Linked DNA regions of Drosophila melanogaster. The protein of the gene in region 1 purifies or fractionates together with the protein of each later gene. This does not show direct contact. Each region holds a gene or a part of one and is shown on either strand. Other genes may lie near its edges. The genes, in order: mRpS30 and mRpL23.

The links.
Region 2: the proteins of mRpS30 (region 1) and mRpL23 purify together in Drosophila melanogaster (affinity purification with mass spectrometry, with the first as the bait; one large-scale study listed by BioGRID). This does not show direct contact.

Annotation. Positions count from the first base shown.
Region 1 is NC_004354.4:15,781,891-15,790,709, reverse strand, and holds mRpS30 (mitochondrial ribosomal protein S30), read right to left. Parts: upstream 4,664-8,819; 5' UTR 4,539-4,663; coding exon 4,081-4,538; intron 3,917-4,080; coding exon 2,701-3,916; 3' UTR 2,422-2,700; downstream 1-2,421. Other genes in the region: Rhp (rhophilin), read right to left, coding at 322-420; Paf-AHalpha (Platelet-activating factor acetylhydrolase alpha), read left to right, coding at 5,650-6,045, 6,114-6,395; Efhc1.1 (EF-hand domain containing 1.1), read left to right, coding at 7,076-7,126, 7,185-7,732, 7,789-8,062, 8,703-8,819.
Region 2 is NT_037436.4:2,369,320-2,377,899, reverse strand, and holds mRpL23 (mitochondrial ribosomal protein L23), read left to right. Parts: upstream 1-4,195; 5' UTR 4,196-4,215; intron 4,216-4,221; exon of another isoform or gene 4,222-4,303; intron 4,304-4,398; exon of another isoform or gene 4,399-4,455; 5' UTR 4,456-4,477; coding exon 4,478-4,771; intron 4,772-4,832; coding exon 4,833-4,991; 3' UTR 4,992-5,056; downstream 5,057-8,580. Other genes in the region: CG15877 (uncharacterized protein), read left to right, coding at 468-624, 680-1,356; CG9004 (uncharacterized protein), read right to left, coding at 1,487-3,171, 3,225-4,104; CG8993 (uncharacterized protein), read right to left, coding at 5,128-5,374, 5,437-5,618; CG1317 (uncharacterized protein), read left to right, coding at 6,238-7,794, 7,852-8,580.

The DNA.
Region 1 (8,819 bases):
GTATCTAAATATATATATATATATATAAATATATATATATATAGATACGAATTTAAATCTATATTGTGGAGATATTTGGCGGATTCCTGAACGTCATTAGCCATGATAGCGATCCCTTAAAGTTATGACTCAGTGTTCAAAATCAAATATTCCATAACAAAGCTTTTGGGTGATACAATCATTTATGGCGTTTTAGGTGATAACAATTGCAATGGAAAATAATAATACTTTTACAATATACATGAATAATACCACTTGACATTTTTCGAATCGCTAAGTGCGCAAAAACATAAATAAATAAGATTGCTATTCTACACTTACCCGAACAAAACAAAAGGATAACTCATTGAGCTTCTCGTCATCCTCGTTCTCCTCGTTTTTCACCACCCTCGTCGACAATTCGTGTTCCTTTTCATCCATGGTTCAAAGATCCGAAATCCGAAATGATTATGATCCAAAAGGACTGCCAATAAACACTGGATTACTTTTCAATTTGTGGGTAAATGATGAAATAATAACAATACAACCTCCCCCCCCCCCCACCGAACTATTCACCACACCGCATATAGAGAGTTCTATAATAGACTTCCGACCTTCAAGACAAGACCAAGATCATGAAAATCCATGCAGCACTTGTTGTCGCGTTATGAATGGTGTAACTAACTATTATAACACGAGCTGCTCGTTTTTCGTATGTATGCACAACATGAGTAGCTAAAGATAGAACCGCATTTCTTCTTCTTTTTTAGCTTTAGGAGGTCAAACTCATCAATCGCCTTAACGGTTTTCGATTCGAGCGAGCCATTTAAGCAGCGCCAAACATCAACATATTATAACCGTCATGGCACTGCTCCAGGGCAAACTCAACTTGAGATATCGTGAATAAACACATTGGATTGCAATGGCATTATTTAATAGAACATTAGAGACTTACAAAGTGTCCGAATATTAAAGGGTTTGAGCATAAACGAAGACTTAAACATGTCAAGATCATAAAAGTCAGTTCATATCTATAAAAAGTGTGTGCCAAGAACTGGAATTCTGGGACACCGAGATATGACGCTTGTGATCGAACTGTATTTCTGGGACAGGCCGCTCGAAAACAATAGGAATTAACTGCCATTCGGTTGTTTTGTCGTTAATTCTCTTTTTGTTTCAACTAAACTATACACACATGCAAGCACGTCGGTTGGCTGGAGATTTCGATGTTGATTTCACGTATTCATGAGATCGCAGAATGCAAAGCATAAATACAGTGTTTTATCGGATTGCTCGCGATCGGAGGGGGAGGAATAGACATAGATATGGATATATATATATATATATACACATAGACATAGATATAGATGTAGACAAATATGTGGTTGGCCACTGGTTTCACTATTTTACACTGGCATTCCAGAGAGTCCATGGCATATATTTATGATAATCCGTGCTTGTTCCACATCATCAGTAGCATACTTTTGTACTACTGGTATGTTATGGCATAATTATTATACACATATTTACACGCCTTACAACTTTATAAGCTCGATGGACTCGACAAAAAAAGAAGCAAATAACCGAGAAATACACTTGTTTGCCCACAAATGCTCACCGTATCCACATACTCCACGATCAATATTCAAGATTTTTCAGCACTTGCCCAACGGAATTTCGACTCAATATCAGTTGGGTTCGACTTGTCTGCACTACACTTTCCACTATTACCAAAAAAAAAAGAAATATATATGCAACAGGTTACTGCTCTACCTTTTTGGACAACCGAAGCGCCAGATACGAGTTTCCGAACCACCGTAAAGTCTCAAACTGGTTATTTACTCGAGCCTAACTATTCAGATCCAGTGTGACCGTCGCACGGCCGTTATAACATACCATACGGTTAGCTGGGACGTTACCGAAATAACCAACAAGTGGTAACTTTTTCAGCAATCCTAACTTTGATGTAGTGGACTATAAAGCTATTATCGTAAATGTAAAACTACTATAATAAATGGGATAATAAAATAATCAAGTAATTAATTAATGCATACATATTACCAGACTAAGTAAGAGTTTGAAGTGTACTTATATGGAATATCATATAAACCTTAGTGCACTATTATGTTCAAACAATATATGATTTGGTAAAAAGATTTAAACTACACTATAGCATTATAAACCTTTTTTACGTTCGAAAAATATGGTTCTGGTGCAGTGTAACCGCATTTTACCCACTTTTTGAGATAACTTCGGTATGTTTGCAGTGCTGATAAATGAAATAAACAATGGAATCTAGAATAAATATGTGCTGCATAAACAATTAAATAATGATAAGAAGCATTGCATTGGCAAGTTTTAGCATCATCAGCACTAATAATTGGCAAAATTCCAGGTATTTGTATAATCATATCTATTTGAAAGAATTTAAGATAAAAAAGACTAGCTTATAAATTTACAGAAGTGTTTAACCACAAGCATAACAAAGTTAATAAATATATATACTTTGTATGGCATAGAATTTAAATTGAAATTTAACAAAATATTTATATTAAAAATCATTAACATACTGACAAAAGTTTGCGGAAAATTGAGTTAATCAAAGTTTAAAGAAACTTTGTACACCGTTTCGTTGCTCCGAATCTGCAATCCAGTATTTCACATTAAAAATTCAGCATTTTTAACAAGTGTAACCTTAGGAAGTGTTTTATATTTATTCATTTAAGGGTAGTACGTCTTCTTGAACCTGTTCTTATTCTTAGGGACGTCTGGTCGGACCGCACGTGGAACATACTCCTTGTCATGTGTGTCCAGCGTTCGCTGCCAAGGATTGATGTCCAGCTCGAAGAAGCGTCTCTTAGCCTCCATGGCACGATTGTTGTTATCGATCTTGTATAGCTTCTCCCACAGGTAGATTTCGGGCAGCTCCAAGTGTCGCGGTCGGTTTGATGCCAAATATTTGAAGGTCTTATTGATAAAGTCACGCTGTTCGGCGTTCTCATAGGCGGAAACGTCGGAGGCAACATACGGCTGCTGCTCCCCAATGCTCCGCTGAATCGATGGCGCATTGGCATAGAAATTGAGCAGGTGCCGCAGTGCGTTATCGTTGAAATCAACGCACTTGCCGCTTGCCGAAATCTCGGCGTACAGTGGAAGTGGCTTTGTACCGCGACAGAAGTTGACACGGGGATTTTCCGCCACGTTTGTGCCGTGCAGCAGCAGCGTATTAAGCTGATACTCATAAAAGCTCCATTCCCTGCCGTTCGTGATCACAGTTTGAGTGTTCATGGGATAGGTCAGTTCGTTGTAGGTGTTGAAGCCATTGTAGTTCGCCTGGGCCAAAAGCCAGGCGTATGACGATTTAATCGCCAGCGAATGCAATGCCTCCAGCTGATCCTGCTCGCCGAACGATTTCGGACGGATCTGCAGGTGTGCACGCGATTGAAATGAGAGCAGGCCGAAGTTATTCTCATTTCCTTTGGGCCAATAGCCTGGCACATTGGTGGCGTGCTGATGCTTGGTGCTGTAGCCGAGGGTTCGCGGGTCGTGCTTGAAACGGGGCAGCTGTTTGCTCAGCTCGAGGTTTTCGCTTTCCGCTTCCGTTTTCCACGGCGTCAATTGCTTGCGATGGCGTAGGGCAAGATACGGCGCTCCCGTATACTGAACCATCCGATCAACGCTCTCGTTTGCCATATCCTTTTGCCATTCCCGGCCCTTCTTCGATTTCTGCACGTTCTTGGGAGGATCTACGCCGCCAACGGCCCAGAACGCTTCGTGGCGTGGATTGTAGTCGACATCGAGCTCATCCAGGTGCTTGTACTCCTCGCTGAGCGACTGCAGCAGAGCTCTGTTCAGCTGTTCTACAATGATCTGCGTTAGGATGCGCTCACGTTCAACGGGGTTCGATTCGGCAGAGTTGTGTTGCTTTTCCAGATGCCTACGCTTGGTAATGGAGGAGAATGAATACATTAATATCAGACGGTCGAACTTGTAACTGGGACCACTCCAACCAATCCGAGTTCTTAAGTGAGTTGGACCAACTACTGTCCACAAACTCGCCGGAGAACTTGGTTCGTTGAAAGCGGACCTCGTTGTACCCACTTGTAGTAGTCGTGGGCAAACTCGAGGGCATCAATAACATCCCCGCGAGCCGCCTTGAAAAGACCATCCACGCTCGGCTGCTCCTGCTCCTGCTCGGAGTCCTTAGCCTGTGCCTTCTTATCCGTTTCAGATGGCAAATCCTCGAGCACTGTGCGCGTATAATGTTGCGTGAGCGGCAGTGCATTGTAGGGGATTTTCGAGTCGTTGAAGTCGACCACCTTGAAGCCGTAATAGCGGGGCATATTGATCTTGATCATCTTCTCCTCCACCGTCGGCACCTGCCGGATTTCCTCGTGCCAGTTGGCCGCATCCTTCTGCTTGCGCGCCTTGAAGGACAGATCCTGAATCTCCGGATATGCCGGCTCTGCGTCCGTACTATTCAGCTGCAGCTGCGACTGGCCGGACAAACAGCGCTTGTACGTCGTTCGCAGATGGCGAACACGGTTAAGCTTCAACATGCCGTCGAACCTAACGCAAGTTACGATTTATGTTTTCGAAGGAATAGAATTGACTTCAGTTTTTTGACAATAACTAGGTTATGTCATTGCTGCAGTGTGACCGCACGCTGGATTCAGAATAGGTTGCGCCAAGGTAGCGACGGAAAGTTTTGCGATGCCAGTGAAAGTAATGGTATAATTTCTATTTATGCAGTTCAATAATAATTCATAATGAATCATAGTCCTTTACTATTTAACGTGTAGGGGTACAAAATTTAACTTGCTTATGTTTCAAATCTTTTTATTTCTGAAATCAGTTATAAATCATCGTAATATTTTTTAAGCTGTCTAGAAAAAGCTAAAAAATAGTCTTGTTTCATTTGGTATATTTTCCCCTTGAAATAATGGCATATGGCTTAAAGGCACATGCCTTAAAAATCACAATTGTAAACTTAAATCAACAGAGATCAAAATAATTAACAGACTTCTCTGCGATAACGCTTTTGACAATTTTGAATAAAATGCACGTTACAAACAGTAACATATGTGACCGTGTAACGTTTTCGATAACGTATCCCACATCTTTTTCAGCTGTGCCAAGTGCAACATTGCTAGACAACACTTTCCAGCCCTGGAAAAATACCAAGACATCTACCATCTCTCTAAAAACGAAAACATAAACGCTTACCAAGAAAATCGTAGATTTTCTACACCAAATTAAAATAAACTTATAAAAATTTTCAACCTTAAATCCTTGGCAATTTCCATGTACACGAGGGTGGCCACATAATTCTACGACATTTACGGATGTTAATGTTGAGGTAACCTAAAACACAAAAAAAAAAAAACAAAAAAAAAATCTTCGCCATAAAAACGATTTATTAAAGTAAACAACGGTACGGAGTTGTTTATGCTAGCGACTATCAGTTCAATTGTTTGTCCACGACTGCAACGCTGTCACTGCAAGCCGAGCAGAACGCCCAAGTATCCGGTAAGACTAAGCCGCAGACGATGCCTCATTCATCCGCATGCTGAAACTGCAACTGAATCGAAATCGAAATAGGAATAGGAATCGGAATCTTTAACTAAAACTCAATATTGGTCTGCAACTGAGTCTGAGCACGCCGACGAAATGAATCCCTGTGTGCTGCCCACCCCATTGCCCGATCTGGATGGCGACAAGCGTTGGCACAGCATACATCGCCGGTTCATCTCCGATTGCCGCGAAAAGGATCCGGATGTGATATTCCTCGGCGACTGCATCTTCGAGACCGTCCAGGACACGGAGGCCTGGAATAAGTACTTTGCGCCGCTGCACTGCCTTAACTTCAGCATTCGCGACGACTGCACCGAGCACGTACTGTGGCGCATCGAAAACGGTGCGCTGGACAATGTGAATCCCAAAATCGTCGTCCTCCATGTGGGCACCAATAATGTGCGGAACAGCGCGGAGGAAGTGGCCGAGGGTGTGCTCGCGAACGTAACGAAAATCCGGCAAAAGCTGCCCAACGCCTATATCGTTTTGCCCGTAAGTACAATAGTTGTGGTATTAGCCAGCCGCAGTAAATCATCGACATTCCCATCTCTCCCTTGCAGTCGCTACTGCCGCGTGGCCAGCAGCCCAATAAGTTGCGCGAAAAGAATGCCAAAATCAACGAGGTGGTCAATGGATTGACCAAGGGCTTGTATCGCGTCCAGACGGTGGCCATTGACAAGGGTTTGGTCCAGACCGACGGCAGTATCAGTCATCACGATATGTTCGACTATAAAAATCTAACCAATGCTGGAGCGAAAAAGATATTAGAACCACTCTACGATCTGCTTTCTCAAATTCTCAACGAAAACGAACCTGAAAACGATCTCACCCCCTCCGAATAAAAGGAATATCCAGCAGCTATCCATTATATATATACATACATGCATACATACACACATACATATACCACAAACAATTCCCAGAATATAACTTAAAACCAGAAATGTATTTTTTGAAATCTCATAAGCTATAGAGCTGCGAGACTAACTCACAATTAAGCATACATTTTTCGTATCGAATAGTAAACCATCGCATATACCATTGCATTATGATATTATTTTACATTGTATTTATAAGAAAAGAAAAAAAACCGAAATGACTGTCATTGGGTAAAATAGAAGTTATCTTCAAGCATCAGACATTCATGGATTTTCGCTAGCATTCGTTTTTTTTTACGTTTTCCGTTTGATCACCCACAAATTAACTTTTGTTTGATATATTGACAGTATTCTTGTATTTTATTACTATTTTATGCATTGACAATAAGAAGTAAAGTTTAATGCAAACCGTGGGAGACGTTTGATAAGTGTACACGTAGTGGATTTTTTAAAAGAGGCCAAATCTATAAATAGGAAGTATGCGGACCTGGAGAAATAAAAAAAAGAGTAGGCTCCGCAGGATCTGGACTTAAATTTTCTTCAATAGTGCTCTGTATTACATTTAGAGCGTACACCAAATATACAAAATATTTCCAAAGAGAAAAGGTCGAAAACGGGTCAATAATTCACATAAAATATATACAATGCTGCGCATTCCTGGAATGCCCCTTCTTCCGGGGACTCTCTTTCGCGATGTAAGTACTTCGGATTGAACATCAATTGGGATTAGATATACATCTATGCGAGTAACAGGTATCCAAGGGACATTACCCCAAACCGCAATCGCTGGCCAATGTCCAAGGTCTGAGCATGCTGAGTGATCGCCAGCAACCGGCTCCTGTGGAATCGGGCAGCGTTACGGTGGACATAAGCTGTCCCCCAGTTGGGGCGTCCTCCATATATCCGCCACGTTCGGGTCCCCGTATGCCTCCATGGCTGGCGTATGACAAGAAGGTGCTGTGCTTCCATGCCTACTTCAAGCAAACCCTTCAGGAGGTCTACCATGCGCCCTATCTGGTGCGCAAGGTTAAGATCTACTACTATCTGGAAGATGGTACTTTAGAGATCTACGAGCCCCGGGTGGACAACTCGGGAATTGTGCAGGGATGTGTAGTTCATAGGCAGCGGGTCCAGAAGGCGCCGCCGTGCGATAATGAGTTCATGTCCCTCATCGATCTGAACGTGGATCAGACTGTTCAGATATTTGATCGTCAGTATCATATCACCGATTGCGATCCGTTCACAAGAACTTTCTTAAACAAACGCGGCATAACCGTTCCCGATCCGGTCAAATCGCCATGGTAAACGATATTTGAATCTCGGAAATTACCCATTTATAATGTCCATTCTCATATAGCGATCCCACCGAGGAGCAACGAAAGCGTGAAAACCAACCGCGATCTGGTAATTTAATCCCAAAGAATCATCCGTTTGCCCAGTTCCTCAAGTACGATAGGCAAATACTCAAGTTCCAGGCGTACTGGGACGATAGAACCGAGTTCGGAGACGTACGCAAGCTGGAGCTGTGCTACTATCTCTCCGACGATACCATCGAAATCAAGGAGCAGCACATTCGCAACTCAGGTCGCGACGGCCCAACCGTTTTTCTTAAACGCGGGCGCTTAGCTCGAGTAAGTAAAAATAAGTATAGATGGTACTGGTATTTACCATAACGACTTACAATACGATATTAGCAAAGTAAATTGGGATGTTGTAGCCCAGATCCCAAGATGTTTGAGATAGGTTGGTTTACATGATATCTTCTTGGGATTCCTTCTATTGAACTTTTGTAGTTTCGGATCTCTTGATATTTGAAATCTTCCAATTTCCCTATAAACCTGTAGATATAATTAAGAGTGTAGGTAATTAACCTAATTAGCTGTGCAAAACTGTAATATTGACCAAGTTATATCGTATTCATGTCATAATATCGTATTTTTGCCATATTTATACATATTTTTAAGGAAAAACTATCCGTTTTTTTACATTAGCAATAAAAAAAGTGGAATGTCATACCTCGTTGAATTCGTAACCAAATTCACCATCGATCTGTTTTCAAAATTGCAAATTTTAACTTTTTGCCATTTTCACATATTTTGCTGATTCAAAAATTTGTAAAAAAATGGATTTTTAAAACTCAACATGAAAATTACACATGTAGTAAGATCCGTTTATTAGCCGCATAAAACAGTTCTTTCTTTTAGTTATGATGGAAAATCTGTTCGCAAATATCATATTTTATGATTAATACTATATATCTGTTTTTGGTAGGAGTTCGAAGGACTCCAGCTGCCAGGACAGATGACCCCGATGACGCTACTGAACGTCCTGGGCACCAACATGCGCAACGTGCGCTACTGCGTGGATCCGCTGAACACTGGAAACAAG
Region 2 (8,580 bases), on another chromosome or scaffold:
ATCAAAGCTTAGTTAACTACTTAATCACTCTTACATTAATTAATCACAACTATCACACCGGTTTTATTTACGCGCCTTTAGGACGACACGTATTTCGTTGATTTTGGCGCGATTTCGTTTAAAAAGAGACGGTGGGATGGCATAGGCGCTGCCCATACACACGCGAAATGCACTTTTTATGATTTATAGCTTGCTTATTTTGTTTTGATTATTTATTGTTAAACGAAAGCTAAGATTTGGCATTTGTTTGGCGCCGTTGCCAGATTGATTGTGGTTAGTCATATGGTGAGTCTGGTGCCAGACTGCGAAAGCAGCCCACTTTTCAGTGTTGGCTAACAGCGGTATTCAGGCCCAGCTTGGCAACGCCAGACAGAAACACATTTTGTTTGTAACTAAAGAAGTTTTTTAAATTTTCTTTTGAATAACCTTGGTGTACAAAGTTAATTTTTAAACGACACGCTTCTAAAATGGCCCGCACTGAACTGGAGAAAAAGGTCAAGCGCCAGGGCAAAAAACGCAAGCACGAGGTGACTAAGAACCCTGAGCATGCGGCCAGCGACGACGAGGTGGCCAACAAAAGTCTAATTCTAGCTCCACAGGTAGATCAACAGGAGGTTCCAACAGGTGTGTTTCAGCTCAAATCTATATCGGCTTTGTGTAACATGTCCAACATTTACAGATAAACCCGCCAAGAGGCGGCATAAAGAATCAGAAGTATCGGCCACTAAGAAACAAAGCAGGAAAAACCAAGCGGAGGAGCAGGTGGCCACCAGTGGAAGCGATGAAAGTCTTCCTCAGAAGCCTCAGAAGAGAAAACAAGTCCAGGATGCCAACGAAACCAAAAAGCTGAAACGCAGCAAAACGCAGGAAAATAACTCGGATGAAGACGACGATGTGGACTCCCAGCCCACAGCAGCGCAACTAAAAGAAGCAGCTCGTCCGGAGAACGCTTATGCAGTGGTTACAGTGCGCCAAAAGAAGAAACAGAAGCACCAGCAGCGCCTCGAGGCCCAAAAGAGTCAGAGCTCCAACAAAGATGCCAAAGTCAACAAGGAATATCTTCTAAAATGGAAGGAATCCCGCCAGGATTGGAAGTTCAACAAACTGCGACAGATTTCCATACAACAAACCGCCTTTGATGTGGAGAAACTGGATGACGAGCTGTGGCCAACTGCTCTGGAGTATTTGGCCAGTTCCCAGGGAGCAGCGCGCTCAAAGATCAGTCAGTTGGCCGAGGAGGTGATCCAGAAACTGGACAAGGAGGGCGAAAAGCTGGAGGACGAGGCGGAAAGGCGAAAGCTAATCGAGTCCACGCAGTACCGGCGGGCACGCGATCTCCTCCAAAGCTTCGACTAGTTTATTATGTTAGTTGTTAATTTTTGCCTTAGGAATAAATTACACATGCCTTCCTATTTTACAAAAACTTGTCCTTTATTTGTTTTATAGCATCCTCATTATGAATATTTTACAAATTTACAACTTATAACTACAGGTCCACATAGGCTAAAAGTTTGTCTATGTGATCAACGCGCTGCTGCAGAAGCTGTCGATCCTCGTCCTTCAGCTTAAGTTTGTCCAGCTGTTCCTCTTGCAAAAGAAAATGCTGCAGGAAGAGCCTTACGCTTTGCTTAAACTGCTGCAGTTTGGTGTTTTTGGCAACTCTTTCGAACGTCTGATAAATCTCGCGTTCATCGTTAGCCAAAAGCAGCCTGACCATCACTTCCTTCATAAAGTAAAAGCTGAGCTTGTCCAGCTGCATAAAGTCGACTACTTTGAGCACTGACAGCTGCAGACCAGCAGCTAGGATTACTTGCTGCAGAAAACTAGCCAGGTTGCGAATCTGCGGCTTGGAAAGCTTTTCGATATCATTGATTCTGTCCCAACTGGCAAACTGGAAAGCCAGTTGATACTTTCTGTTGAATTGACAGAACTTAAGTGCCAAATGAGCGTAATAGGGGTTAGCACGCTTCTCATTCAGAGCGCAATGGATGATCACGTAGGCCACCGCTCGCTGGTCCTTCAGAGACAAATGCAGAATCTTCTCAAAGGCGTCCACATAATCGGCGGCGCTCATGATGATGCAGAAGATATTCCTCCTTTCGGCTGTGTTCATCTGCTGCTTTCTGGCCAGCTCCAGTAGCTGATCCGCAAAACCTCCGTTGGCAGACTTCGATGAGTTCTTATCCTGCTTTTGCTTGGCGGATCCCATCTCATCCAGATTTCCCGTCCAGGCAGAGCCCACAATCCACCATTTGCCCACTTTATCAGCACGCAGGAGGTCCTCCAGGGTTATGTTCAGAGTCACCACGTAGCGATCATTCTTCAGCATGGCCTTCAAACGCTTTCGCAGATTCTCCGCCAACTCGGGATCATACTGCGGCAGCTTTTGCATATTGTTGTTTTTGACTGCATTTAGAATATCGACCATGAAACGCAGGCGTGGATTCTCTTTCAGTTCCAGTGGGGCACTAGCAATTTGCGATTGAACTTTTTGCATCATGGTCTTAAAGGCCAGTGGATCGTCCTTGCGCAGCCGGAAGCCAATGGACTGGAAGATCAGCAAAAGGCACTCCACGCTCTTCTCGCAAAGCTGATCTGACAATTTGCCTATGAGCTCCATCAGCAAATTCAGCTCGTAGATCTTGAAGAGGTACATGTAGCAGAGCACCAGTACTAGGTTATTCAGCTGCTTATCCTCCACCTCCAGGGTAGCGATGTTCTTGACATAACCATCGAATAACTCCACAAAAGTCTGCAGGAAATGCGCTCCAATCTCGCTGCCAACCTGGGCATGTAGGTAGGCCAGCAGCACCATGTGTTCCTGTACCATTCGCTCGTTGGTTCGCGTGTAGCCGAGAAGGGCTTCTTGAATTAACTTGGTTAGTGTTTCGTTCATGTTGTAGCGGGAGTTTTTCATGTACAGCTCCTCGATGCCGGCGGCAATCTTGTGCAGATTCGCTTCTGACAAACGATTGAGCAGACCCTTGCATTGCTTTAGAAGGCGAGCTAGTATCTCTGCCTGTTTTTCACTTGATCCCGCGCTGGCTGCCATCAAAGCTCGCTGATGTGGCGGTATGTACTTTTGACCGGCGGCTGAGGCCTCGAGCTCCACGGGATCAGGCAGGATGTTTCCCTCGGCGTCGCGTTTGCGTCCGTAGATGTCCTCTTTAACTGTAATTAATTCGTTAATTAAATGAAAAACTCTAAACGATGAATGTACTCACTCTTAGGTGCATTCTCTTCCTGCTCCGAATCCTCCTCGCTTTGTTCTTCCTCTCCAGTTAGGTCTTCATCATCATCTTCACCCTCAGAGCCACTGTCATCTTCTGAGAAGTTATCCATGGGCTCATCCCTGTCCTCCTTATCCTCTTCCTCATCGCTCCACATTCCCGCCTCCTCCTTTTCTTGCTGCTCCTTCAGCTTTTTCTTACGTTCCTGCTTCTCCTCCCACTTCCGCTTCTCCTCCTCGTCATCCAGGACAAAGTCAAGCAGGTAGTCCAGGCCATCATTGAACATCTTCCGCACCAAGCGGTTTTTGTCCTTGGATTTGTTGAGCTTCAGCTTCTTTTCCAGCTTGTTGATCTCGCGATCATCCTCCTCGTTCTCTATGCGAAGTTGCTTGATTCGCTGCTTCTTGGACTTGCTCTCCAGTTCCTTTTGCTGGCGCAGTTCCTTCCGCCTGACCGCCTCTTCATCCTGTCTTTGGATGGCGCCTCCTGTCGTTTTCTTGACCTTTTTTCCCAGAGGTTCATAGACTTCCATCTTTTCCCTTGCGGGCAGCAGAGCATCCACCTCCGCATCGCTGAAATCCGAATCTATGGACTCGTCATCGTCGCTGTCTATTTCACCGGACAAAAGTTGCTCCTTGGGTATTTCATCTGGATTTATTATTTTGGGCTTCTTGCTCCGTTTCTTCTTCTTGTTTTTGCCCAGCTGCGACTGCGCTGCCAACGCCTCTGCCGCCGCCGCCACGCGCTGTGTTCCGTTAGTTTTGCCGGCGAAATAAAGTCGTTTATTCTGTTTTTTGAACTCCGACTTCTGTTTTCTCTGCTCCTTGCGAGTCAAAGGTTTAGCTTTCGCCTCCTTTTTCTTTATTTTTGCCATTTTAAACGGCCTTTACCAGAGATTTCAGCCGGACCGAATTTAAAAATTGTTGTGGTTGACAATCAGCTGTTTAAAACAAGTGTTGGACAACCCACGTGCTTTTACACGGGTGTAGGTAACAGTTCTTTGAGAGGAATCTAGATTTAGTGATATTATTTTTTAAAAGTGGTAAAAGTGTGGAATATTTTATAGTTACAGCGTAATAACTTAAATTAATATATACGTTAAGTTTTAGTTAACAATCTTATGCGACCCCCTTGCTACGCCTGTGTCCGCCCGAAACCTTTGGCCTTTTTTAGTGCATTTCATAAACGCACAACAATTAATTTAATTTTTGTATTCTTGAATTAGAATCTTAGATCCTGGCTAGATCATGTCCACGAGGTGGTATCCCATCTATCAGCGCGGCAATCCGCAGCTTCGCGTTTTCCTTCCCAACTTCTGGATGAAGCTAATCCGACCCACGGAGGAACAGCCACCCAATGTGGTCACTTTTTCGGTGTCCATGGAAATGACCAAGTACGATGTGCGTAACTATCTGGAGAAGATCTACAAGCTGCCGGTGGTGGATGTGCGTACTCGGATTGCCATGGGCGAGACCAAGAAGGATCAGACCTACGGCTACATCACCAAAAAAGACGACGTGAAGCTGGCTTATGTAACATTGGTATGGCCCACTACAAGCCCCTGATTCAATGGATATTTCCAATGATATTTGTGTATTCCAGCCCAGGGAGGAGTCCTTTGTCTTCCCCGACTTCTTTTCCGAAAAGGCTGAGAAGCAGGCCAAGGAGGAAAAGTCGCTGGATGAATCGAAAGCCGGTTTCCGCAGATTTCTGGACAGGAACAAGAAGCGACCCGGCACGCCGGGCTGGTTTTCCATTTAGTTTTTAGTGTGTAATCGTAGTACTTTTCGTTTCAACGGGTAAATAAACATTTATTTCGAAAGTCCGAATTAACCTAAAGCTCAGCTTTATTTGCGAGGAGGTCAACCTCCACTTTTTTTTTGGGATTTCTCAATTATTACTTGGCCTGTTTGACGGCGGCGGCAACCCAGGCCCGGATTTTGTCCTCGTCCTGGAGTCCCACCATGCGCTGCACCTCCTTGCCGTTCTGCAGCACCACTAGCACGGGCACGGCGGCCACATCGTAGTCCAGAGCCAGTTCGCTGTGCTCATCTATGTCCACCTTGGCCAGCTTGATGGAACCGGCCTGTTCGCCCACAATACTCTCGATGCGCGGGGTTAGCAGCTTGCAGGGATTGCACCAGCTGGTGGATTACAATATAAACATTAATTTGCCATGTCCTCAAATTGAAAATATAAAAATTACGTTGCGAAGAAGTCCACAATCACGGGCTGCTGGCTGTTCTTTACTTTCTTGTCAAAGTCCTCGGCGCTCTGGACTTTGAAGATCTCCTGTCGCGGCGCAGAAACTGACAGCATGCGAATTTGCTGGCCGCTAGCCAGGCGACGCGTCGTCTGTCCCAGAATGTTAATAATCTGTCGCTGCATGGCTTATTTTCTACAATTTCTCAGTGCAAAAAGTTCAGCGATTGATTGCAAAATAATGACAAGAGAATCAGAACAACAACAATGAGTGTGGTGGGGTTGCCAGATGGATTGGTATTGCCTAATGATGTGTGCACACACTGTTTCATTAACTGTTACTTCCCGGTCATGATAATTTTGTTTTATATTATTTAAGTTAAAAACTTATATTTATTAACCATAACTATGTAATCTTTTTTAATTTTCAATTTATGATTAAAAAATGAATAACGATATTTCGTTCTCTCAATCTATCGAACTAGTTGGCATCTCCGTTGAGAAAATAATCAGCAATTTCATGGTGTGCACACATTGGCTCTCCTTTTTTTGAGAAGTAGTCTTGTTTTGTTTTGTCGTAATAATATCCCAACTTTTCGGTTAAAATTCAAGTGTTACAATCGCATTACGGTCCGTAATCATCGAAAGGTTAATTGGCGCACATAAAAGGCGGGTATAATCGTCTTAAAACCCCCGTACCCTCGGGTCAATTACGGAAATTGTCCAGCGAATTTCGCAAATGACCAGTGGAACTTTAGTAATTCAGTCAAACTGAAGACCCAGGATCCGGGAAAAAGTTATCAGTATGGACGACCTGTCGCAGGGCGACATTTGCCGCGTGTGCAGATGCGAGGCACAGCCGGATAGGCCTCTTTTCTACCCGTGCATCTGCACTGGATCGATCAAGTACATTCATCAGGACTGCCTGATGTTATGGATGCGCTACTCGCACAAGGAATACTGCGAGCTGTGCAGCTACAGCTTCAGCTTTCAGCCCATCTATGCTCCGGATATGCCGCGAGTCCTGCCGATAAAGGATGTCCTTGTGGGACTGATGTCCGCCGTTTTGGAGGGCGCTCGCTGCTGGCTTCATTACACCCTGGTCGGTTTGGCCTGGTTCGGAGTGGTGCCGCTGTCTGCCTACAGGACCTATCGGTACCTCTTCCGGGCGAGCTCCTTCGATATGATTCTCACGCTGCCCTTTGACATCTTCTCCGTTGAAAACCTGGCATCGGATGCCTTTCGGGGCTGTTTTGTGGTCACATGCACACTTTTGTCCTTCATAGGATTGGTCTGGCTGCGCGAGCAGATCCTGCATGGCGGCGGACCCGATTGGCTGGAGCGGGACGATGCCCCTCTACAGGCAGCGGCTGCTAATCCTGCGCCTGATCCCGCCGCCGAGGCAGCTCCACAGCCTCAGGACGACAACAACAATGCCGACGACAATGAAGCGCCGGCTCCAGCGGACAACGATGGGCAGGATGCCCAGGCCCAGGATGCCGCACCAGCGGCTGCAGCTCCCGTCGTGGACGCCGATGCCGATGAGCAGAATTGGAATCCCATGGAGTGGGATCGGGCTGCCGAGGAGCTTACCTGGGAACGCCTGCTCGGACTCGATGGCTCGCTAGTTTTTCTGGAGCACGTCTTCTGGATCATCTCACTGAACACCATGTTCATCTTCACCTTCGCCTTTTGTCCCTACTGCGTGGGCAACTTCATTCTGAGCTCCATGGATCTTTTGCAGCCCGAGAAACCACTGCTACACTTTCACGGCCTGATTACCACGCTATTTGGTTACTGCTGCATTGGATTGACCCTGGTGGTGCTGCACTTCTTCTCCAGAGTTTTCCGCCTGCGGAGAGTCTGCTGGTTCATTGGATTGTGCTATATTGTGGTCAAGGTGTCGCTGCTGTCGGTGTTGGAGATCGGAGTACTCCCGCTGATTTGCGGCTGGTGGCTGGACATTTGTTCGTTGCCCCTACTAGATGCCAGCCTCAAGGATCGTAAAGAGAGTTTTAAGGCTGCTCCGGGCACCTCACTTTTTGTCCACTGGATGTTTGGCATGGTATACGTTTACTACTTCGCTGCGTTTGTATCGTTGTTGCGCGAGGTGCTGCGACCGGGAGTGCTCTGGATATTCCGCAATGTCAACGATCCTGACTTCAGTCCCATCCAGGAAATGATCCATGTACCAATTGTGAGACACATCCGGCGGCTGGTCGCTTCGGCTATGATCTTTGGATTTGCAGTGCTCTTGATGCTCTGGCTGCCCATTAGAATTCTGCAGGTGGTTTGTCCGGACTTCTTGCCATATGCACTTAGTGGCGATTCAGCGGTTAACTTGCAATTGCTGCTCTTACAAGTAAGTTACCCGCAAACTTATTTGAATAACTTAAACAATCTAAACTCGCCATTCCAGATCGTTTTGCCGGGCTTCTTCGAGCAGACCCAAACACGCATCTGGCTAAAGGGCTTGCTGCGCATTTGGTGCACAGCGGTGGCCTGGTTGCTGGGCATACGAAGCTACCTGCTCCCAGCACCGGAGCCGGAACCGGAAATTCCCGCTGCTGGAGAAGAAGGCGTGGAGAATGCCGCTGGCGAAAATGAAAACCAGGAAGGTGAGGCAGCGGATGCGGCAGCCCAACCACCAGCACCACCTCCTCCACCGCCACCGCCAGTGGAACCGGCGCCGGCACCACGAAACCTTGCCGCCGCCCATCAGGCCATCATGCAACGGGATGCACCCGTGGGATTCCAGCCGTACGACAAGCCATCGCTGTTCGCTTTACGTTTGTGTGCCCTGTTGGCACTCATGTGTTTGTCCATCGTTTGTGCTGCCATGTTGACGCTCACGGTTCCAGTCTACATCGGTCGGCGGCTGATGTTGATCTGGTCCTCCCAGCCGGATGAGAAGGCAGCTGGAGCGGCAGCCGCAGAAGGAGCGGGCGAAGTGGTTGAAAATCTAGATCCAATCGATCCGGAAGGAGCCAGAAAGAACGAGCGACTACTGCGCTCGCATGAGCTGTACACCGCTGAGCTTGGTGGTTACCTGTGCTGGATTGTCTGCCGGGTAGTAGCTGCGGTGGTCACCCTGCTGCCACAAGGCCGCGCGGCTATTGTCGACAAGATAAAGCACTGGGTCCGAGTG